3 linked regions of the Caenorhabditis elegans genome follow. The protein of the gene in region 1 interacts with the protein of each later gene in a pairwise test. Each region holds a gene or a part of one and is shown on either strand. Other genes may lie near its edges. The genes, in order: cpb-1, fbf-2 and fbf-1.

Region 1 (8,248 bases):
CTACTGCAGTTAACTGTGGCAGTTCATTTCTTGGTTCTCTTGTCGTGTCAAAAAAAAAGAACTGATATCTGTGCTGTCAAATTAGTATAATTTGTTAAATGAAATACGGTAATTGGATCACGATTATTGATGAATTATCAATTTGCGAATTATTTATTTATCTATATCTCTGTCCCCCATTTATTGTATTTTCCAAATTTGTAGTACATTTTTCCTGAAAATGCAAACTTTTTAAAAGTTCCGATGTAATAATAAGAATATATTTTTATTGACAAATACTTGGTGTACATATTATGCTTTTTATAAAAATATTATTACAGCACCCAATATCACAATCAAAAGATCATAACTGAACGTCTTCCCATTTTTAACCGCACTCTCTGCAATTGGCCTGTAATCTTCCTTATTCTTCGGACATCCATCAGCTGACCATCTGTACAAGTCCATATTAAAATAATGTGCATGGTCGGCATTTGACAGGTTCTGCACCTGACTGCTGAAAAAATCAAACATTTTTGTTGATAGTTGCTGATAAGAAATGTTGCGAAAACCTGCAAAACGGTTGATCTGCTTGCTCGCAAATGACAAAAGAGTCGCCTTCACGCATATCATTGTTGTACCAAACTTCACTTCGTGGGTGATAAAGTGTTGTGTTATCAATATTATCAAAGAAAGGGAGACGTGGTGCATAGTCATGTGCGTGGATAATGTGGTAAGAATATGGAAACTGAAATATGAACTTTTAAACTTAGACGTTCTCTATTTATCTCGTTACGTTGGTACTATGCCACATTGCAAAATCATAATCTGTACATCTAGGACATCCAAATAAAATTACTTTCATATTGTAAGGAGAGCTCATTCCAGTTTGAGCAATGAATGCAGATGTAAGTAATGCAATTGATGCACCCATCGAGTACCCAGTTATCTGAAATTCTGGGGTTGAGGGGATTCACTTCAGGTGTTGAAAATGAAACGAAATGTTTTTAAGAATTCGTGATACTGAAACTTCACTTCCCAACATTTTAAAAGTTAAGGTTTAAATTAATAACAAGAACCGTACTTCGTGTGACGTCACACAACTCAAACCTTGACTTCCCGCAATATTCATGTTGTCGTGTTTATTGTACTGTCTTAAACTATACATCCATACTTAATAATTTTCAAACCCTTTACCCACCCATAACTGATAATCCGGATAGGCATCAATCAAATTTTGCAAATCTTCACCCAATCCACTATACCATAATGATTCAAAGTTGTCATTAAACTTCTTCGTAACTCTTCCAATATTTAGAAATGGGACTGTTCCACTGAAATTAATCTGATTTTAAGAGTAAAATATGTTAAAACCAACTTAAAATTTCCGATTTTCCACAAATCATAATATTGATGATCACCGTGTGATCCACGAACCGAGAGAACGATTACTTTTCGGTCGAAATCAATTCCAGTGTATCCAGAACAAGTTACATCTAAAACGAAGCAGTATGATTGAATTCCGAGAAAAATTTGGATTTACCTGAGAAAAGTGAGGAGCAGTTTGCCTCACGCCGTTTATAGACTTTCATAGAAGGAAGTTGGTTGCTGAAAATTCTTATTTTGAACATTGTCTTATTAGTTTTTATTTCAGTATTTTATTTTTTTAAATATATTTTTATCGAAAAATATAAACAATCGATTCAAATTACCCAACAACGAAAAGTTAGCAACTACAGTACACCTTAACGGCGCACGCTCCTTTGAATTTAAAAAAAAGCGATCGCTTCGAGACCGGGTACCGTATTTTCTTAGAAATTTGTTTTGCTTCTTGGCAATAAACTATTTTCCTAAACTCACTCAAGACATTTTTGTGGATTATCTGTCCCGGTTGCAGCTATAACAGGTAAAACTGTATTTCTGACAAAATCGTCGTCATAAGCATACTGTAGTGCTGGTACAGATGGACAATTTATTGGAAGCTAAAATTGTTTCTTATTACTTTTATTGGGCCCACAGACTTACATCAACTATCCTATTACATTTTGTCTCAATTGTTAACACATCAACTATGCATTGATTATTATCTAAACAAAATCTGAAAATCTTCAATCAAAACCTCGCAAACATCATTTGAAACTAACTGTCCTCCATCCTGTAAACACTGCCAACAAGTCTTAGCTGTAAGTCTCAGAAATAAATGAAGCAAAAGGTAAGCTGCAGGGGATGCTGTCATCTTTCAAAGAGTTTTACCTCGAGGTGAAATGAGCCATTCGATAAGGCGTGGACTTAATCAAAGTTTCGATTCACGGAAATTGATGGGAGGAGGTGGGGTTATCAGTACGTGCACTTTAAAATTCGCAAAAGATGCGGCAATGATTTTTGCTTCTAGAACATTTCTTTGTTGGTGAAAGAACTTTATTTGGAAATTTCTTCCGTCACAAAAAAATTATAAAGCCAATGTTCGGAGCAATTTTAAAACCGGGAAAATTAAAAACGGGTTAAATATGGGGGACTAAATATCACGGGGTGACAATAAATAATATAATTAATCTGAATGATAGCTACAATTCAAACTATCTAAGCTATATCTCTGATCGAGTATGAACTTTGTGGGATACGGGCAATAAATAAAAAATTCTAAAGGAAATTACAAAATTCTGCCAATTCGGATAGGCTAAGAATGGGATGTACATAAATACACAAGATATAGGGTACCAGGGATTGATAATAATATAGAAACATGTTGGGGGAAATGTCAAGAGACGAGAAATAAAACATGAAGAGAATATTACATAATGAAAATTTAACATGATTACTTGAAGTTTACAATGGAATCTAGGGGAATGGTAGAGTTGCACGGAGAGATTCACACGAAAATATGGTACTTCTTTTTGAAAAGGAAGAGTTTCAAAATTGAGCAGAATTCTCGGAATATTAAGGCAAAACTTTAAAAATATGAAAGGGGGTGGTAGGGTGCGGATAAAACGGTGGAATACTTTTTAGTGAGATAAGAGTCTCAGAAACTATAGGAGGGAGTGGCAGAAAACTGTCTCTGTGACTGATCTCCATACGCTAAGATTTTTGCCGTAGTAGATTGGCTAGATGGATGGAAAACTGGAGCAGGCTTAAAACCAGAGGAGCGATGTGGAAGATGCTTGAGAAGCTGAAAATAAAATACTTCTGAATACAATAAAGATATTATTTTATTAGAACTGACTCTTGTTTGATCTCCAGTGCGCACCATTGGATAATGCTGATCTTCGAGCTTGTTATCTTCATTCTTTCCAATATGCATGCGATCCCAACAACCTTCACAGTAATATTGAAGACAGGAAGCATGTCCACAGAAGTATGGAGCATAGTTATGCTTGCACAATCTTCCTTCACACTCATCACAGTATTGTTCTTCCATCACATACGGCTTGATTTCAACCTAAAATTGTGAAGTTAAAAAACTCAATTAGTTCTAATCTCGACTCACTCGTTTGTTATTTTCGGCATGATTGACCTGCACGAAACGACCCGATATGGCGCGAACAAATGCTTGAGAAGTTGAGAAAGTGACTCGGGCAGCTCCTTTTGGGTATTTCAACTCTGGATCAATATCAATTCCCACATACGACACTTTTCCATAGTGACCTTCAAGACAACGTGCAAGATCTTGAGCACGGGTCGGACGAGGAACGCCACCAATGAAGACAGTGCGACGATGATCGACCGAAGAGTTGTCATTACAGAAGTAGTCAATGTCGGAAAGACGCCAAGGCCGGACTTGGACTGCTTTGTCGGTCATCGTTGGAGAAGACAACTGAAGGTAGTATCTTAAAAATAGCAATATTATTATTATTATTATTATGAAAATTCAATCTTTCACTAACTTATCTTCATAAAACTCGCATGCATTGACTAGCTCCTGGACAGACCGCTCGTGAGTGAAAACGAGAAAAACATATCCCGTTACAGCGCGTGCTGTAAATAGTTTATCTTTGTTGATGATGTGTACGAATATAACATACAACCGCTTCCTTTTTTCAATTCCTGTTCAGCTCGTTCTGCATTGTGCTCCGGGCGACGAGGCCAATCAATCAGCACCTTCCCGAAAGCTCCGAACGTGGCCCAAACTTGCTCTAGAAACTTTCAGAAAATTAGAATAATAATTTATGACACAAAATACCTTCTGAGACGTCGATTGGAAGACCGCCAATAAAAACCTTGCGGGAGTATAGCGGTTCAGCTGAAATCGGACGTTTTTTCGAGGCCTCCAAACAACTTTTTGATACGCCCATTAGTGACCCATCAAGGCGTTTGTATTCTGGTGGAGCAGATACGGCTTGGGGATCGGTCACTTCCATGTAACGGTGTCCGTTGATCTTCTTTATTTCTACCATACGATTCGCGTGCGTTGCATTCTTTTTAATATGTGGGAACCGCTGGTTGTACGATACATGAAAACTGTTGGGCGAAATGAAATGCTGCATAGGTGCTTGGTTATAATGAGACATTGAATAGGAACTGTTTTGAATTGCATTCAACGTATCTGAAAATTCAACAATAGGTATGAAAACATGAGTATAACAAACGAGCAAATTGAGCCATGTTCATTGCCGCGGAAGCATCATTGATGTCAAATGATTGTTTGTAAGGATTGACACTCATTAACGGAGGAACATCTCCAGACGCTGCTTGCATTATATCCATGTTATTGTAAAATGTGGCGTGGTTCAAGAATTGGTATCCATAATTCGAGGGATCATCTGCAGTCAGCATCTCAGTGGGGTCGAAAATTCCATGATTCGCCGACATTCCTCTCATTTTCTTCTGGGCCTGCGAAGTCAAAAATGATACACTGATATCCAGATTCGTTTTGTCTGTAGACAAATATGGATTTCCATGTCCTCCCGATTTTTTTGACTCGGTTGAACGGCGATGGCCATGAGACGATCGAACTGGAGCAGATGTCTTGAAATCCCCACTTGGACTCAGCTGATACTGCATCTCTCTGAAAATAGTTTTAAAAGTTATTCAATTATTTAAAATAGACAATAATTTAGAAGATTGAGACAAAAAAGCGATGAAAAATTGCTCTTTAAAAATCTTTTTTTTTGCAGTGCAGCAGAGCGCATTTGCATTTCTCAGATTTTCGCTTTTTTTCTGCAATAGAAAGCAAAGCTTTCGAAAAGGACTATAATAAATCTGTTTGCACACATTTGGCCAAATTTAAAATCACAGATAACACATAAAATCGCGTTTATAATCACAAAAATATAAAAAACTGAAAGTTTCTTTAAATTTTGAACATTCTTATATGCAAATATTATGACAAGAACCGCAATGTTCTCACAAATTCGTATACGAAAAAATTATTCTCTGAATAAAAATTTAAAAAAGCGAACTTGTGGAAAAAAGTATTTTAGCATGGTTAAAGAAATTTTGAGAACACTGAACAGTGTGCGTGGCAAAACTTGACACTGACCCCATGGCCTACTTTCCACGTATTTCACGTGTTAATTTTTGCGTGAAAGAATTTTATTTTCGTTTCGAGGAATTCATGAAGAAGTTCTAATAAATTTGACAGAACAATGTTCGGTTTAAAAAATTTTAGATTCAAAATATTCATTCTTTCTCAAAATTAAAAATTGAAAGGTTATCAAGGTTGAGCATATCCAGTCGTATTTTTTGGACACCCATCCTTTCCCCAATTTGAAATATTAATATCGAAATAGAATCCATGATCATTCATATTCAATCCTTCTGTAACTGCATCACTACAGTAGTCTCCATCGGCTTCTTCACAAATTTGATATGTGTCATTCAATCTCATGTAGTTATTGTACCTAAAGAGTATTCAAATCGAAACTTTCAAGTACTATGACTTACCAAATTTCAGTTCTTGGTTGAAACATGACAGTTGTATTGGTATGAGGGTCAATTGCTGGAACTCTAGGAATAAGATCCAATCGGTGAATTATATGGAATGAATATGAAAACTGGAAAATTATCAAATGTTCATGAAACTTGAAATTTTAGACTCACTGTGGACGAATACCACGCTGCAAAATCGTAGTCTCCTATTTTCGTAGGAGCAAGAACAATGATTTTCATATTTTCTGGTTTGTATAGTCCAACTGTTGTTAAATATGAAGCTGTAGTATATGAAAGGGCTCCTCCAAGTGAATGCCCATTTAACCATAACTCAAAGTCAGGGTACTTGTACTTCAAATATCGTAAATCTTGATTAATCCTGTCGTTCCAAAGGAGCATGAAAGAATCGTAGATCACTTTGAAGATTTTACCTGTACCTTTGCCAAAGTATGAATGAAGACCACTGAAACCAATATAATAAAAAAAAGAATCAAAACATACTCTCGAGTCATTCCTTCCAGTATTTGATTGTTCTGGTTCGGTCCATGAGATCCTCTATAAGATATGACAATAGCTTTTTGAGTGACATCATAAGCAGTATATCCATAACATGCCACATCTGTTATACAAAAAAAAATTGATAAATATTACTATATTGAATCATACCAGGGTAGTCTGTTGAACAATTCACAGTTCGAACTTTGTAAAGCTTCATTGTAGGAATTTGGTTGCTGGAATTATTTTATACTGAAATTATTTGAAGCTTGCTCATATTTTTACTCAAGACACAGCTGAGGATTGGCATTATGGGAAGCCGAGGCTAGAGCCAACATTTGAGTACGTGCAAAATGTTCATCATATGGAACTTTCGGTTTTGTGGGGCAATTTAGTTGGAGCTGGAATTGTTGAATAAGTTCATCTATATATGAGTATCAGGTCTCACCGAGATTTTTGTACTGCAAGATACGAAGCTTGAATTGCACTGAGACTGTTCAACACACCATCTGAAAGTTTAATAGAAAATATTGATTTAATGACATCAAATCAAGATTTTGTCAGCTATAGGCCATTCAAAAATTAGTCTTGCAGCCCTAAAGCCCAATCAAAATTTTATTCACTATTGAAAAATTATTTTGTGGAACTCAGCTCGGACGCTCTACATTGTTGAAAAATTTGACAATTTACCACAACCTAAATTGAAAATTTTGAAACATCTGAAATTCTTAACTTTGAAGATTCGCCTGTACCATGATAAAAGTATTTGTACTGAACCCCAACTGAACATACTACACCTTCAAAGCAACTCACACTTGACCTGATCCAACACAATTTGAGCAGTCTAACGAAGAACTTGATGTAAATGGATAAATTCCGAGCGAAATAAGAAAAAGCAGAAATAAAACTATCATTTTTGATCGTTTGGAGAAAATTCAACAATGATGAGTACAATAAATGATAAAATGATACCAGGACGGCTCTTCTTTTCGATCAACTCTTCAAGACTAATGGTCAATGAGAAAGTGATAAGAATGAAGAAAAACAAGTTTTATATGAATACCACGTTGTGTGTATGTACTCATCTATTCAAACAGACCTGTTGGTTGACTAGAACACTAAACTTTAGGTTTACTGAAATCTTTTCAACAAATAATTACTTTTACTTTTACCAGCTTTTTTTTAGAAATATTTGTTCAAATTTCAGGTTCAGTCTAAAGAAGATTTTATATCAACAAATGTAATTATTTTCCGATACTTTATTTCAAAAAGCGATAAGAGTGACCTGAAAAACAAGTTATTTTTGATTACATCTCGTTTTTTTGGTGCCACTATTTGCACACTGTTTCCTCCATAAATTGATAATCTCGATGATTCATGTTTTGAAAAAAAAACAGAAAAAATGAAGTATGGAAGAAGTTGATCAAGTTGAACATTTTCCGGTGGACCCAAAGAATATCGACTTTTTCCAAAAGTTCGCAAAAGTTGGGCAAAACTTGGTTTAGGCAATGCAACAAGAATATACTAACAAAAAACAAAAATCTAAAACTAACAAAAAATTACGGCAATCATGGTAAATTGAAATTTTTCAAATCATTTAGAGAATTAAATCATAAAGAATTATGTTAAAAATAATTCATTTATTCAAATAAAAAAGATATGAGAGATGTGTAAATAGTTTTTCATGGCTGCGAATATCCAGTCGTATTTTTTGGACACCCATCCTTTCCCCAATTTGCAATATTAATATCGAAATAGAATCCATGATCATTCATATTCAATCCTTCCGTAACTGCATCACTACAGTTATTTCCATCCGCTTCTTCACAAATTTGGTATGTGTCATTCAATCTCATGTAATTGTTGTACCTGGAAAAATGTTTGAAATTAAATGTTCTAACTTTCAATA
Region 2 (8,124 bases), on another chromosome or scaffold:
TCCCTGCCATTGTAGTAAAAATGTCTACCGTAGCAAAAGATACAAACTGTAGCAAAACATCGGAATAAAAAACCGTAGTGAAAGATCCACGTAGTAAAAAATGAGGTAGTAAAAAAGTATTTTCCGTAGTAAAAGATATATGTGGTCAAATGGTAGTAAAAGAGATCACGTAGTAAAAGAGCCAATTGTAGTAAAAGATCTAAATGCGGAATTCGTAGTAAAAGAGATTCCGTAGTAAAAGAGATCTTGTAGTAAAAGAGATACATAGTAAAAGATCAAGTAGTAAAACAGTATTTGCCATAAAATTTAAGATTAAGAATAAAGACCAGTAGATGCGATTCCAGCAGTTGAAGATGCAGTACCAGCAAATATTCCAGTAACAACTGCTCCTATTCCAACTACGACTACTTTGTCACCGGAGGAAACCAGAGCTGCAGAAGAAAAAGAGAAAAAGCAAAAAGCCAGAGAATTGAAAGACTGTATTTAAGTAAATTCGTTTTTCTATTAAAATATAAAGTCATGTTTCAGATTATAAATAATACCGGAAGTCTGTTTTCGAATGGTTGAAAGATAACAAAGACAAATGGTCCGAAGTGATGAATATGTATACACAGTGGATGTTCTGGTTTCGCATCTAACGTTCTTAATTGGCTTGAAGATATGATACTAGGAGATCCAAGACGTGCCAAGAAGGGAGGAAAACTATCAGGAGATGATGCTCTTCAATCAGTTTTTCTCGTTGCAAGCCCCGCCTATGTTTTCTTGAGATTCAAGCAGAAGCCTGGAAGAAACTCTATGAAGGCTGGATTAGACATTGATGCATGGAACGAAATTGCTGCTGAACAAGTTCTTTAAGCATGGCAGAGAGAGTTCATCAAGTCACTTCACAATCATAAGGCAAACGTTGATGAGAAACAAAAGAAGAACATTGCATCCACTTGCATCAACATCCATTGCTGATATGCTCGAGGAATTCTGTCAATTCAACTATTCCATCATCATTGCTGGGTCTTGGTCTTGCCACTTGGTTTGGAATCGAATTCAACGCTGCAACAACACAAATTGTGTCAGGAAGTACGAATTTATCTTGACAATTTTAATTTGAAAGTATTTTTGTTTCAGAGTTCTAGCCGAAGAACATTTTCTCGATGTTGGATAACAATGAGAGGATTGCCACCACCTATACGAGGACCACATGAGAGAAGGACCGCCAATGTTCGCGGAGTTCTTCCTCATCCCCAGTATCCAATTTTTGTTTTTCTATTTTCTGAGAGTCCCATTATTTTGAAATCGATGCAATTGTAAGATAAATTTCAATATGATAATTGAACTATATTTATTCTTCATGGTTTCTAATTTGATTAAATTTACAAAGTCAACATTTGTCGGTTATCAGTTTTTTGTTCTCCGAGCAAAGAACAACTTTTCTCTTCGCTTTCAAAATTGTTTTCTGAGCAGGCATTGTATGGAAGCAGGAAGCTCTCGGTGGAAGCATGACAAAGACTCGAACGATATTTTGCCAAGTTGTCTAATTTTATCTGGATTCATTAAAATCGAAAATAAAAAATTAACAAAAACAATGAACAGTAAACAGAAAGAAACAATAACACAACTGCATAAAAAGCAATAAAATAACAAAAAAGAAAAGAAAAAACAAAACTGGGCAATGATAAGAGTGGGGAAGGCACAACATCGATCTTAAAATCGAAACGAAATCATTGCACCAGTTTAAAATATTACAAAACAACAGAACATAAGTGGGTGGGATGAGATTTATGGTGAGAAAGTTCCACCTTAATCATCGCCGTGACTACCGGAAGAAGAAAATTTGACAGAGACTGAAGACTTATTGCTCCGTGGCTCTAGCATCAGGCTTCCTTCCTCGATCCCATTCTTCTCCAACTCCGGACCATCGTGCTCGGAAGCAGTACTGAAGTAATCCGTCTTGAATGAATCGTGTCCCGAAGATTGGAGTTCATAAATCGGATGAGTTGAACGGAGATTGGCAAGCGTCTCGATCATCTTTTTGCCGGATGAGAACCTGAATTTCGAATTTCAAAATATTATTGTGACAATAGTGATAACCTTGACAAGCGATGCCTTTCTTTCGTAACTCTCGAGTGCAACTTTTTCAGCCAATCCTGGAATGAGATTGCATGGTCATAGCCTCCTTCTTTCGTTTGCCGTCTTCCAGACACAGCATCACAGCAAATAGTCAGCATGCATTGAACGACGTAGTTTCCGAATTGATGGAACATCATGATATCGAGGGCATCTTTTCCCGTGTCCCTGAAAAAACATTTCATTTTTATGTGACTGAAACTAATGTTTTTACGGATGTGGAATGTATCCGTCGAAAATCTCGTCCATCATTTCGGCAAGAAGTTCCAATGGTGCATGTAGGAATGCTTTCTCAACAACATGAGAAGCAAACTTTTCCTGGGACAACGAAAGAAGGTTGCGCCTGAAATATTGATGATTAAAAATCAAGTAGATATTAAACAATAACACTCACATGAGGCATTTCTCTATGATACATTCCCGATAAACGGCCAGATCATCATTGGATACAATATGCTGTATTATGTAATTGGCATACTCGTTCGTAGCTAATTCTTGGCACCGATTAGTCACAGAAGTCATGAGTCGTTGGAGCGCTCGTTCACGAAGATTTTGAGCAGCGGAAGTTAAATCAACGTTCATTGAATCAGCAGTGAGCTTTTCGATAATAGTTTGCACAACACGGCACCCATACTTATCAGAACAAATCTGACGGAGGTGCTCTGGGGTGGCAACGAAATCCACAATAAACTCCCAATTCTTCAGTGGGATGACTGCTACGACTTTCTGAATGACGTGATTGGCATTTTGATCAACACAGATTGCGATAAGACGAGCATCACGAGGTAGAGCTTGAACAAGTTTACACGCAAGGGATAAATCCATGTTCTGGAGACTGGATTGGATAACACGACACGCAAATTTGTCCAAGCACATATCTGTCATTTGGGAACTGATGAAGTTCTTCAACTTTTCTTGTCGCTTTGTGTATCCGTCATCATTAGTTGCCAATGAAATTCCAATAACGCTTTGTACCAAATAATTTCCAAAGATGTTCGTGCTCAATTTCTGAAAAGAAAAGTCATGTGTGCTCGCAGAAACTAAAACTTACAAGGAAATCATCTTTTCTCCCAATAACTTGTTCAAACAATTGGAACTTCTGATAAGATGTCAGGCTGCCCTTCACTGCCTTTTCTAGGAACTGGCACCCAGTTTTGTCAACGGCAAACTTCATTAAATCGCCACTATCCAAAACTTCAGAGAGCGACAATCTTGAACGCATTTCACCATTGGAATCCAAGGACCAGGTTGGCAGCACATTGTTTGATCTTGTGAATGATCTAGAGTTCCTCGACAGAGCGGGTCTATAAATAAAAAAGAATAAATACTAGAGGATAGTGATAAATTAATTCGAACCTCGAATATTTCAAATGGTAGTGTTTTGAAGAACCATAGCTCTTGCTACGATCAATATCCGCAGAGAAACATCGGACATTTTGTGAAAAATCATCCGACTCGAGACGCGAGGAATCCGTATCAGACTGAATGAATGATGAAGTTCGGCTACGCGAGACCGGCATGAACACATTGGGCTGCAAATCAGTAATGAAAACAACCAAAAATTGCCTACTCTAACTTACAAAGCTCTGAAAACTCCGAAGGCTCATCAAATCAGTTAGCGGGGTTGGTGGCCGCGATGTAACAATGTGATTCTGTTGATGGCGAGCATAATTAATCCCATCGTTCATATTGAGCATTGAGAAATACGGGTTGAGAGAGTTGAAGTCCCACATAGGTGTCTCATGCTGCGCCATTGGTGATTGTGCGGGAGTCGGATAACTGTCAATCCCTGTAGAAGGAGGCTTCTGGGAAGTCTGTAAAACTTAGGCCATTTGTTTCTTTAGAAGTTACTGAAAACTTACTTTTCTGAACTGATTCGTTCTGCGCATCTTTGATTGGTCCATGTCGATTAGTTGATAATTTTATTAGAATGATTACTCATAGAAAAATTATCAATTCACAGAAAATAGGAATGGGAATATGAAAATAATATTTAAAATCGAATTCGCAAATGACGAAAGTGTGTCACATACTCTGGTGTTTGCGTACTTTGTCATTGTCTACCGTAACCAAATTGAAATTTTCAAATAATGCGAGATTCTAATCACATGTTTCAAGAATTAAAAAGTGTATTTAAAATAATTATCAATTTGATTACTAATGATTACTAGAAACAATAAAAATTTTTGGAAAATTCCGGGACCGTAACATATCAAATTGATAAACACATTTCAACCTCCCGAAAAGCTATAAACCGGTCGACTGACGGTGACGACATTTTACGAGCTATTCTGTTTCAGACTAAACACTTTAAATTGCTCGAAACACAAAATTTTCTTTCCCTATATTTGATGATTTGGAATATTCTCGTTGTTGTGGTTACGATCGTTACTAAATCGCTAGAGACACTCGAAGTTGATTTAGCAGGTCTAGTGAAGCAAACCGTAGCGGGAAACGAAGGAGTGCTGCATAACTGCAGTTCTGATCAAGATCAAGTGCTACAACAATGTTATATAGATATGTTTCAATCATATGGTTCAAATGTGACTAGCCTTCCCCCAGCAGACGAAGATCCATTTAAGAAAATTCGGTACGATGCCACTGGAATGTGTAGGTATGTGAAGGTATTACAACATTGCAACACCTTTTAAATTGTAAAATTATTGAAGAATTTCAATAGAACCGGTTTTACATGCTAGAATAAATATTTTTAAAAAAGACGAATAATTACAGTACATATACAACTCTACGTCACTGTCATAGTGACGTCATCAATGATTGTCTCAACTATAACACTTTCAATGCAATTTTTGGTTCAGAAAGCAATGCAGCTTATTACATCTCACAAACGGGGTTTCTTGAATTCTATTGTAATTATGGAAATGATTGTGAGGTTTTTCATTCTCGTTCATTGTTTTATAAATATTTCAGTTGTGGCATATTATGAATGTATGCAAGCAATCAGTTTGAATGATCTCTCTGACACGATTTATACTGAATGTTCCGTTTTGGAAGTTGGCAGTTGCGAGTGAGTCTAATAGTTTCAGACTTATTGAGATTAGTTTTTAATTTTGAGCTCCGTATCACGAACCACACAATGTGAGCGAGCAGTAGTGAGAAAATCATGTGGAAATAGTGCTGTCAAATCATACTGCCAATATCAGAAGATTCTCACCCACATGACTGGGTGGAACTTCTGTGAGTACATGCCATGCATCAATTCGTCGCAACCTCGAACATTCTTCTTCTTAATAATTTTAATGTATCTCTGCAAAATTTTTGTTTGATCTCATTTATAAAACAATAAAAGTTTATCTATTCAAATGGGAAAATCATTTGATTCACAACGGAAATGGAAGCAAAAAAGCTTCCAGAAAAAAGAAACCCGCGAAATTTCTTATGATACACTAATTAGAAAAGACGGTAGGAGGTTCTGTTTTTGATCAGAGCCGAATTTTTAAAGTGAGTAGCAAGATGATTCCACTCGAGACTTTCGCAGACTTCAGCCAATGATGTATCAACAGCTTGCGAATCAGTAGCAGACGACTTCAGTTCATCTCCAGCTTTGTTGAGAAGCTTTGCACATCTTCCAAATTGTCCAAGAGCAGCTGCATGTTTGGCAGAGATCAGTGCAGTTTTAGTATCATCAGCAGACAACCAAACGAGAAGCTTGACGTAAAACTGATTTCCAGTCCAATTACTATCCAACTTTTTCAGTTCTTCAGAGACAGTTGCATCAATTTGTTCAGATTTTGATTTCAGTGCTTCATAACCTTCAGACTTCTTATTGATCACTTCTCCTTGCTTTCCACCGAAAATTAGAGGAGTGATTCCTCCGAAACGAAGACTTGCTGGAACGTCGAACTTGCTCTTACGAACTTCAATATCCTGCTCCAATGATGAAAGAGCTTGCAAAGCGAGAATAATACTTTTCTTCCGTTCCTCAAATTGTGAAATCAACTTCACCACATCCTTTCGCTGGTCCTCACTGCCTCCGGTTAGTGCCAGCCATTTGTCAACAGTAAGGAGATCATCATCATGTTCTTGCTTGACGGATGAGAACTGAAGAGTTTCATTCGGTTTTGTGATTTGCAAAATTTGACCACATAATTCAATAATCTTCTGCACGTTTTCCGGTGTTTGATCCACAAGTTTTGCTTGCATCAATTGCTTTACTCGATTCTGAAGTAGTGGGAGATGATCTGGATACTTCTGCAGACAAGCTTCGAAAAATTCTTTCGCTGCCTTTTCGTCTGTCAATTTTTGCACCCATGATACTTCCAAATCGCGAATGGCGTCTGTAAATATGAATTTAATAAAAGATACAATTTTTAATTATTATCTACCAGTCATTTCCTGATTTTGATTCGTATCTTTCTTTGTTGTAACCATTGACAATCCTTTCGTAGGACGAGTAGAGTACTCACTGAGAAAGTAAATAACTTCAGATTTGTCTACATCACTCAAATCAGAATCCTTGAGAGCACTAAATGTTCCAGCAAGGAAACTTCCACTTGTTGGTACGATAGTCTTTGGCAATTTATCATCAGCGATATTCATAGCGTAGACGGTCATTTCTTGATTTGGAAGAAGGGCTTTTCCAGCAAATTTGCACTCTTTTCCAAGTGTTGCATCGCTGGCAGAAGCTGCGAGGTCAACAGAAATTTTGTTTCCAAGTTTCACATGAACACTGAAACACAAAAATCATTTCAGTTAGAATTTAAAGAATTACTTACAGCAGAGGAAGTTCCTTCATTCCTTGCAAAACTTGATCATCCGGATATCTAATCTGAGCCTGAATAGTATAATCTCCTTTCTCAAGCTTCTGAGTCCAACGATCCGGGTACGAAGAAGAAGCACCCACAAACGACTTGTTTGCTCCGAAAATTTGGAAGAGTACACAGTCCACAGGAGATTCATACAAATATGGAGTAAGGCCAGCAAGTTGAAGTTGCACTTCACTTGGTTTTTGAACTGAAAAAATAATATTTTAATAATTATGTAGTTAAAAAAGGTTACCTTTAAGCTGATAAGTCAACAGAAGACGATTGATTTGAAGTCCAGACGTAAGGAACATATCACGTGGTCCCAATGGTTCTACTTTGGCAGATTGTGGTTTCAGTGATACAACAAGTGATTTTAGAGAAATCGAAGGAGAAACGTCGATACTTTTCGTTGGAGCAGCTTGGAAGCGAATGGGCGTGTTAGTTGCTCCATGAATCAGTGAAATAGAAGTTGGCTTTTTGACTCCAAAGAAGTCGATGGTCATGTCAACATCCACAGGATTCTTTCCACGTGACCAAGCACGAACAACACATGCTTCAAGAGTCTTTCCACCTTGAACAGTAATCGACTTGCTCCATTCATTTCCAATTGGACCCTGTATTTTTTGAGTTTCTGTGTTTCGGGAACATTTATCATCCTCAATGTAGACCGTATGAAGTGTAAATCTATCCATTTCGTCTTTGTTAGTAGATCGGAGTGTTATCTCTGTAAAATGATGAGATTAATAGAATTTTCTTTAATTTTCATTTTTTACTTACTTGCACTGGTTGCCCACGACGGTACTTCGACAAATCGTCTTTCGGTGACTCCCGATTTACCAACAAGTCTAGAAGTGTATTGATCAACCGCTACCTTCTCAGGATTGATTACAGTAACCGGAATACGGAAAATCGGTCCCAATGATGGATCAGCCGTATCAATTCCAACAATTTCAGTGTAGTTTGCACCTTTTGGTGCTTTTGATGCATCAACGGTCACAACCATTGTTCTTTCTTGAGCTACCACAAACATTGTTTGTGGATGAGAAACCCATGGAGCAGTTGATTGTAAAATAATCTGTTTCTCAAAACTGATTGCAGGTAAATTGTTATCAGATAGATGATTCTGGAAAATTGGTTCAACGCCAATCGTGAATTCCTGCGGTCCATTCCAGTTAGGCTCACGAACATATACACCTTTCGATTTCTTGCAGTGATTCGATACATTGATCTCGAAATG
Region 3 (7,893 bases), on another chromosome or scaffold:
CTAACTTTAGTGGTTTTTAACTTTTAAATCCACTAAAACTTGGAATGGTACAGAACATGCAAATTGTAATTTCAAGAACTGAATGTGGTTTCGAATATTTATGGATTGCTTTGTTCCCACACTGACTCTGAAATATTTTGCATCCATTTGACTATTAATTGTCATATTATACCGAACACTACTAACTTTAGTGGTTTTTAACTTTTAAATCCACTAAAACTCGGAATGGTACAGAACATGCAAATTGTAATTTCAAGAACTGAATGTGGTTTCGAATATTTATGGATTGCTTTATTCTAAAACTGACTCTGAAATATTTTGCATCCATTTGACTATTAATTGTCATATTATACCGAACACTACTAACTTTAGTGGTTTTTAACTTTTAAATCCACTAAAACTCGGAATGGTACAGATTATGCAAATTGTAATTTCAAGAACTGAATGTGGTTTCGAATATTTATGGATTGCTTTATTCTAAAACTGACTCTGAAATATTTTGCATCCATTTGACTACTAATTGTCATATTATACCGAACACTACTAACTTTAGTGGTTTTTAACTTTTAAATCCACTAAAACTCGGAATGGTACAGAACATGCAAATTGTAATTTCAAGAACTGAATGTGGTTTCGAATATTTATGGATTGCTTTATTCTAAAACTGACTCTGAAATATTTTGCATCCATATGACTACTAATTGTCATATTATACCGAACACTACTAACTTTAGTGGTTTTTAACTTTTAAATCCACTAAAACTCGGAATGGTACAGAACATGCAAATTGTAATTTCAAGAACTGAATGTGGTTTCGAATATTTATGGATTGCTTTATTCTAAAACTGACTCTGAAATATTTTGCATCCATTTGACTACTAATTGTCATATTATACCGAACACTACTAACTTTAGTGGTTTTTAACTTTTAAATCCACTAAAACTCGGAATGGTACAGAACATGCAAATTGTAATTTCAAGAACTGAATGTGGTTTCGAATATTTATGGATTGCTTTATTCTAAAACTGACTCTGAAATATTTTGCATCCATATGACTACTAATTGTCATATTATACCGAACACTACTAACTTTAGTGGTTTTTAACTTTTAAATCCACTAAAACTCGGAATGGTACAGAACATGCAAATTGTAATTTCAAGAACTGAATGTGGTTTCGAATATTTATGGATTGCTTTATTCTAAAACTGACTCTGAAATATTTTGCATCCATTTGACTACTAATTGTCATATTATACCGAACACTACTAACTTTACTGGTTTTTAACTTTTAAATCCACTAAAACTTGGAATGTTTCAAAACACTTGAAGAACGTCCTTCATTCATTTTTTATGTACTGCGTAAAAATCTGTGTTGTTAGATTTTAAAAAATATTTGAGTCCTATTCCTACCTATTGCCACGGCTTCAGACGTCAACAAATAAGGGGACACGTTGCTTACTCCTGATTTTCCACGTGAAAAGTGCATGAGGAAATCGTTTTGTATGATATCAAAGGTTTTAACAATCCCGATTACTTTTTTTTTTCTTTTTTTTAAATCCAATTCCTCTTTTTCCAATCTTTCTATACGTTTCAAGGGAGGCATATTCATTCTAGTTCTCGCAGCACTCTCCATTTCTCGCGTATACTCTAATGTAAGATTACTGTAGAGAATAAAGTGCAGCGAGACTATTCCGAATAGACACTTATCCAATGAAACTCATAGAAGTACAACACTTATAGTATAAGTGCTGAAGAGTAGAGATTGAAATCAAATTTATTTACAGATGCTGTTTCTCGTCTGTTCTGTTATTCTCACTGCTGCCGTATTGGTGAACTGCGGAAAATTTAAGGCTAAAAAAGGCGAGTTTACTGAAGTAATTGGGAGGAACTTACCTTTCATTCTCATTTTATTTTAAATACTCTGTGTTTTCAGTCGAAGAGGAGATTGGTGGGTCGATGATGTTCGCACCGAGAAGACCACCGCCAGGCGTGGAGGCTCGCCCCACAATTCCAACATCAATGGTTTACATGGAGAACGACGACGCCAACTCTACCTGGCGTCAACGAGAGGAAATCTTCGAATAATTTGTTTGTTGTTTTTGCGTAATGAATTATTTTAGTGTTGAAATAATTTTATTTAATTTTTAGAGTTTTCGTGTCCAAATTTATCTGGATTCATTAAATTCGAAAAAAAAAAACAAAACAATGAACAATAAACAGAAAGAAACAATAACACAACTGCATGAAAAGCAATAAAACAACAAAAAAGAAAAGAAAAAACAAAACTGGGCAATGATAAGGGTGGGGATGGCACAACATCGATCTTAAAATCGAAACGAAACCATTGCAACAGTTTAAAATATTACAAAACAACAGAACATAAGTGGGTGGGATGAGATTTATGGTGAGAAAGTTCGCATGAGCCTCAGGTTACCTTCCTCGATTCCATTCTTCTCCAACTCTAGACCATCGTGTTCGGAAGCAGTACTGAAGCAATCCGTCTTGAATGATTCATGTCCCGAAGATTGGAGTCCATAAATCGGATGAGTTGAACGGAGATGGGCAAGCGTCTCGATCATCTTTTTGCCGGATGAGAACCTGAAATTCGAATTTCAAAATATTATTGTGACAATAGTGATAACCTTGACAAGCGATGCCTTTCTTTCGTAACTCTCGAGTGCAACTTTTTGAGCCAAACTTGGAATGAGTTTGCATGGTCATAGCTCCCTTCTTTCGTTTGTCGTCTTCCAGACACAGCATCACAGCAAATAGTCAGCATGCATTGAACGACGTAGTTTCCGAATTGATGGAACATCATGATATCGAGAGCATCTTTTCCAGTGCCCCTGAAAAACAATTTAATTTTTATGTGACTGAAACGAAATTTTTACGGGTGTGGCATGTATCCGTCGAAAATCTCGTCCATCATTTCAGCAAGAAGTTCCATTGGTGCATGTAGGAATGCTTTCTCTACAACATGAGACGCAAACTTTTCCTGGGATAACGAAAGAAGATTGCGCCTGAAATATTAATGATTAAAAATCAAATATATATTAAACAACACTCACATGAGGCATTTCTCTATGATACATTCCCGATATACGGCCAGATCATCATTGGATACAATATGCTGTATTATGTAATTGGCATACTCGTTCGTAGCTAATTCTTGGCACCGATTAGTCACAGAAGTCATGAGGCGTTGGAGTGCTCGTTCACGAAGATGTTGAGCAGCGGAAGTTAAATCAACGTTTATTGAATCAGCAGTGAGTTTTTCGATTATAGTTTGCACAACACGGCACCCATACTTATCAAAACAAATCTGACGGAGGTGCTCTGGGGTTGCAACAAAATCCACGATAAACTCCCAATTCTTCAGTGGGATGACAGCTACGACTTTCTGAATGACGTGATTGGCATTTTGATCAACACAGATTGCGATAAGACGAGCATCACGAGGTAGAGCTTGAACAAGTTTACACGCAAGGGATAAATCCATGTTCTGGAGACTGGATTGGATAACACGACACGCAAATTTGTCCAAGCACATATCTGTCATTTGGGAACTGATGAAGTTCTTCAACTTTTCTTGTCGCTTTATGTTGTCGTCATCATAAGTTGTCAATGACATTCCAATGATTTCTTGTACGAAATAATTTCCAAAGATGTTCGTGCTCAATTTCTGAAAAGAAAAGTCGTGTGTGCTCGCAGAAACTAAAACTTACAAGGAAATCATCTTTTCTCCCAATAACTTGTTCAAACAATTGGAACTTCTGATAAGATGTCAGGCTGCCCTTCACGGCCTTTTCGAGGAACTGGCACCCAGTTTTGTCAACGGCAAACTTCATCAAATCGCCACTATCCAAAACTTCAGAGAGCGACAATCTTGAACGCATTTCACCATTGGAATCCAAGGACCAGGTTGGCAGCACATTGTTTGATCTTGTGAATGATCTAGAGTTCCTCGATAGAGCGGGTCTATAAATAAAACAGAATAAACACTTGAGGATAGTGATAAATTAATTCGAACCTCGAATATTTCAAATGGTCATTTTTCGAAGAACTATTGTTACGATCAATCTCGGTAGAGCAATATCGGACATTTTGTGAAAAATCGTCCGGCTCGAGACGCGAGGAATCCGTATCAGACTGAATGAATGATGAAGTTCGGCTACGCGAGACCGGCATGAACACATTGGGCTGCAAATCAGTAATGAAAACAACCAAAAATTAGCTACTCTAACTTACAAAGCTCTGAAAACTCCGGAGGCTCATCAAATCAGTTAGCGGGGTTGGTGGCCGCGATGTAACAATGTGATTCTGTTGATGGCGAGCATAATTCATCCCATCGTTCATATTGAGCATTGAGAAATACGGGTTGAGAGAGTTGAAGTTCCACATTGATGTCTCATGCTGCGCCATCGGCGAATGTGCGGGAGTATGATGATTTCCAACCTCTGTAGATGTGGGCTTTTGCGGAGTCTGTAAAATTTAGGCCATTTATCAATATTAATGGCTGAAAACCAACTTTTCTGAACTGATTTGTATAGCGCATTTTTGATTGGTCCATGTCGATTAGTTGATAATTTTATTCGAATGGTTACTTATAGAAAAACTATCAATTCACAGAAAATAGAGAATAGGAATAAGAAAATAATATTTCAAATTGAATTTGAGAATGACGAAAGTGTGTCACATACTCTGGTGTTTGCGTACTTTGTCATTGTCTACCGTATCCAAATTGAAATTTTCAAACAATGCGATTTGCTTATTTATCTCTCAAAATTTTAGCATCTCCATGGAGAGATATTCTCTGTTAAAACAGATAAAAAATTGTGGAATATTCCAGACCGTACCGTATAAAATTGATAAAACATTTAAACCTCCCGAAAAGCTATAACCAGTTGGCTCTCGCGAGACGCGAGGGACGATCGTCGTCGACGATCGTATGATTGGGATTGGTTTTTTTAAAATTAATTCATAATCACATAATTCAATTTCCAGAAGACTAAGTCCCCATAAACCTCTATAGAGTTGCATTAAATCTCCATATTCCGGATGATGTTTTGATATTTAGAATTTCAGAAAATATTGCATTGTATTTGGATGTTGTAGGAAGCTTAAGCTTCCTACCGTTTAACCATCTAAAACGCAAATTACGATTGTTTTTCAAACATATTGTTTATTTATAAACTAGAAAACAAAAAAATTCCAAAAAAAGTTACATTCGAATATTTGGGGAATTAACGGGATTAGAAGAAATTTGAGAATCACAATCATTATTCAGGATAACCTGTCAGGGGTATCGGGAAATATTGGTAAGTTTTAGATGGTTTTGGGGAAGAATGGGCGTTTTTGGGAGTTAATATACAAAATAGAAAGGAGAAGCAATAAATTAGATAAAAATAAGAAGAATTATGAGACATTCAAGAAGTAGAAGAAGCAATTGTCTATTGTGATCCAGAAAGGGCGGAGCAAACACTTCGAACATCCCAAATAATAATCACACGATTATGGCCACTGGTAACTGGCCCTCATTCCGAGGGGACAAACTTTTAGGGTGGCAAGGTATTTTTGGGGACAAAGTATCCAAAGTGACATGGTATCCAGTCGACAAAGTGCCATTTGTCTCTGACCGGGCGTATCTTCGGTGACAAACTTTTTCAACTAGTTTTTTTATATATATTTCTTGACCATTTTTTGTTCATATTTTACTGGAATAAGTTTTTAAATGCAATTTTCCATGGATTTTCGGCCTTGACTACTCACAATTGAATGCATGAACAATGATCTTTTGGGAAAATGCTGTAAAACGTCCAACTAACTTGGAATATCGTAAGATTCTTCGAGATGATGACGTCGGATCCTTCGGAGCTGAAGGATCAGAACATCAGGAAGAGCCTCGTGATCCTTTGGAGCTGAAGGATCAGACCATCAGGAGGTACCCTTACGATCCTTCTTATCTGAAGGATCAGAACATCAGAAGGTACCCATGTGATCCTTCGGAGCTGAAGGATCAGAACATCAGGAAGAGCCTCGTGATCCTTTGGAGCTGAAGGATCAGACCATCAGGAGGTACCCTTACGATCCTTCTTTTCTGAAGGATCAGAACATCAGAAGGTACCTATGTGATCCCTCGGAGCTGAAGGATCAGACCATCAGGAAGAGCCTCACGATATTCCAAGTTAGTTGGACCTTTTACAGCTTTTCCCAAAAGACCATCGTTCATACATTTAATTGTGAGGGAATTATAACCGATAATCGATTGAAAATTGCATTAAAAAACTTATTCCAGAAAAATGTGAACAAAAATTAGTTGAAAAATACATATAAAAATCTAGTTGAAAAAAAGGTTGTCACCAAAGATATGCCCCCCAAGATACACCCCAGTTTGTCTACTGGATACTTTGTCTCCTTGGATACTATGCCCCCAAAGAACCTTTGCCACCAAAAAGTTTGTCATCTCGGAATGAAGGCCGTTTGTTCCATAGTTTGTAGATATTTATGTTGCTCGAGAACTTCCGGAAAACAGGGAAAAACGTTTCATCTGCAAAGAAAGGCTCAGAAATTTCAGAATTTGATTTTAATTTTGAGTACGCCAGTCGGAGCACGCGCTTCAGCGCGTGCGAACGGCTGGTTTTTATATATTTAAACTCTCAACGTAAGTTGTTTCCTTTTTTCTGATTTAGCTGATTTTCACTTTTCAGATTGCAACATTGATTACAATTAATGTGGATTATTGGAAAATAAAAAAAACGTGTGGGACAAGATGCACTTGCTGCAGGACCTCTTCGCTCTTCTAAAACACGCCGAGATTATGAAGCACATCGCTAGTTTCAACGTTTCAGTTCATGGAGTGTAAGTGAAGACTACCAATATATTTTTCTTGTAACAATTGATCATTTTAGGGACTGGTCTCTATCCGACATCTGCTTCAAACCAGCTCCACCATCTGTCGCAGCCGATTCTGCCGCTTCCTCGCTTGGTGACGTCATCGATATGATATGCATTTGGATTACTCCAATAGATTATTTTTGCGATGGATCGAAAGCTTTTGAGCCGCATCCATCTCTCCCAAAATCCTCACTCCGATCACTTGGGACGTCGTTGAGTGCGCTGTCAGTTGATGATATGATTCGCTGGTCAGACTTTGGGCAAATACTGTTTTACTACTTGATCTTTTACAACGCATCTCTTTTACTACAGGATCTCTTTTACTACGGAATCTCTTTTACTAAGAATTCCACATCTAGATCTTTTACTACAATTGGATATTTTACTACGGAATCTCTATTTTATCTCTCTTCTTGGAACAAAACATTTTATCTCTCTTCTTGGAACAAAACAAGATTATAAAACTGGGAGAAGAATTAGTCCGTTCCAATGCAAATCAGAGCCGTCATGACAATAGAGAAATATTTGACAACAAATCTGAAAAATAAAATTCTGATGACATCCATACTTCTGTAAAACTCACTCAAACTGAGAATCCAAGCATCAAAATACCGAGAAGTGTGGAGAATGATCCATGAATTACTGGAACAAAAACTCGATCAACTGCAGATGACGTTCGTTGAGATCTTGTTCCGAGCGCCGTCAGGAATGAGACAACCACATGAACAGTGAATTCGACTCCAATTCCAACTGCGGTGATCAAAGTTACGGCTGAAACCGGATTGAGCTTAATTCCAACGAGTCCCATGAATCCGGCAAGTTCGCAAGTCATGATTCCGAGAATACAAACAACCATAAGTGCAGCCCATGGATTAAAAAGAAGAACGGAAATGACACAGAAGACAGAGATGGTAATGATCGAAATGGCTTGCATAAGATTTCCAGTCAAGAAAAGATATTGTTCCCAGAATGTGAATGCGATTCCTTGTGGGAAATT

The links.
Region 2: the proteins of cpb-1 (region 1) and fbf-2 interact in a two-hybrid assay, tested with the Caenorhabditis elegans proteins (2 studies listed by BioGRID).
Region 3: the proteins of cpb-1 (region 1) and fbf-1 interact in binary tests that used the Caenorhabditis elegans proteins (3 or more experiments, as listed by UniProt).

Annotation. Positions count from the first base shown.
Region 1 is NC_003281.10:9,319,045-9,327,292, reverse strand, and holds cpb-1 (Cytoplasmic polyadenylation element-binding protein 1), read right to left. Parts: upstream 4,984-8,248; 5' UTR 4,978-4,983; coding exon 4,563-4,977; intron 4,520-4,562; coding exon 4,157-4,519; intron 4,110-4,156; coding exon 3,999-4,109; intron 3,952-3,998; coding exon 3,861-3,951; intron 3,804-3,860; coding exon 3,464-3,803; intron 3,416-3,463; coding exon 3,200-3,415; intron 3,146-3,199; coding exon 2,999-3,145; 3' UTR 2,380-2,998; downstream 1-2,379. Other genes in the region: C40H1.7 (Fungal lipase-type domain-containing protein), read right to left, coding at 301-496, 552-727, 776-928, 1,181-1,313, 1,358-1,475, 1,523-1,587, 1,840-1,961, 2,005-2,077 and 1 more; C40H1.9 (Fungal lipase-type domain-containing protein), read right to left, coding at 5,630-5,816, 5,860-5,969, 6,016-6,307, 6,346-6,463, 6,511-6,575, 6,625-6,740, 6,788-6,848, 7,153-7,253.
Region 2 is NC_003280.10:6,087,348-6,095,471, forward strand, and holds fbf-2 (Fem-3 mRNA-binding factor 2), read right to left. Parts: upstream 4,134-8,124; 5' UTR 4,026-4,133; coding exon 3,984-4,025; intron 3,936-3,983; coding exon 3,702-3,935; intron 3,654-3,701; coding exon 3,478-3,653; intron 3,426-3,477; coding exon 3,173-3,425; intron 3,130-3,172; coding exon 2,516-3,129; intron 2,465-2,515; coding exon 2,336-2,464; intron 2,290-2,335; coding exon 2,086-2,289; intron 2,042-2,085; coding exon 1,795-2,041; 3' UTR 1,516-1,794; downstream 1-1,515. Other genes in the region: nspg-3 (DUF19 domain-containing protein), read left to right, coding at 4,473-4,735, 4,855-5,009, 5,053-5,149, 5,198-5,408; tpp-2 (Tripeptidyl-peptidase 2), read right to left, coding at 5,533-6,419, 6,468-6,811, 6,858-7,095, 7,141-7,611, 7,665-8,124. UniProt on the Caenorhabditis elegans protein: RNA-binding protein that binds to the consensus sequence 5'-UGUGCCAUA-3' in mRNA 3'-UTRs. Involved in the control of stem cells and sex determination in the C.elegans hermaphrodite germline.
Region 3 is NC_003280.10:6,076,149-6,084,041, forward strand, and holds fbf-1 (Fem-3 mRNA-binding factor 1), read right to left. Parts: upstream 4,696-7,893; 5' UTR 4,573-4,695; coding exon 4,531-4,572; intron 4,485-4,530; coding exon 4,251-4,484; intron 4,203-4,250; coding exon 4,033-4,202; intron 3,981-4,032; coding exon 3,728-3,980; intron 3,685-3,727; coding exon 3,071-3,684; intron 3,023-3,070; coding exon 2,894-3,022; intron 2,849-2,893; coding exon 2,645-2,848; intron 2,601-2,644; coding exon 2,402-2,600; 3' UTR 2,115-2,401; downstream 1-2,114. Other genes in the region: H12I13.6 (uncharacterized protein), read left to right, coding at 1,787-1,862, 1,936-2,087; F21H12.3 (uncharacterized protein), read left to right, coding at 6,772-6,860, 6,911-7,358. UniProt on the Caenorhabditis elegans protein: RNA-binding protein that binds to the consensus sequence 5'-UGUGCCAUA-3' in mRNA 3'-UTRs. Involved in the control of stem cells and sex determination in the C.elegans hermaphrodite germline.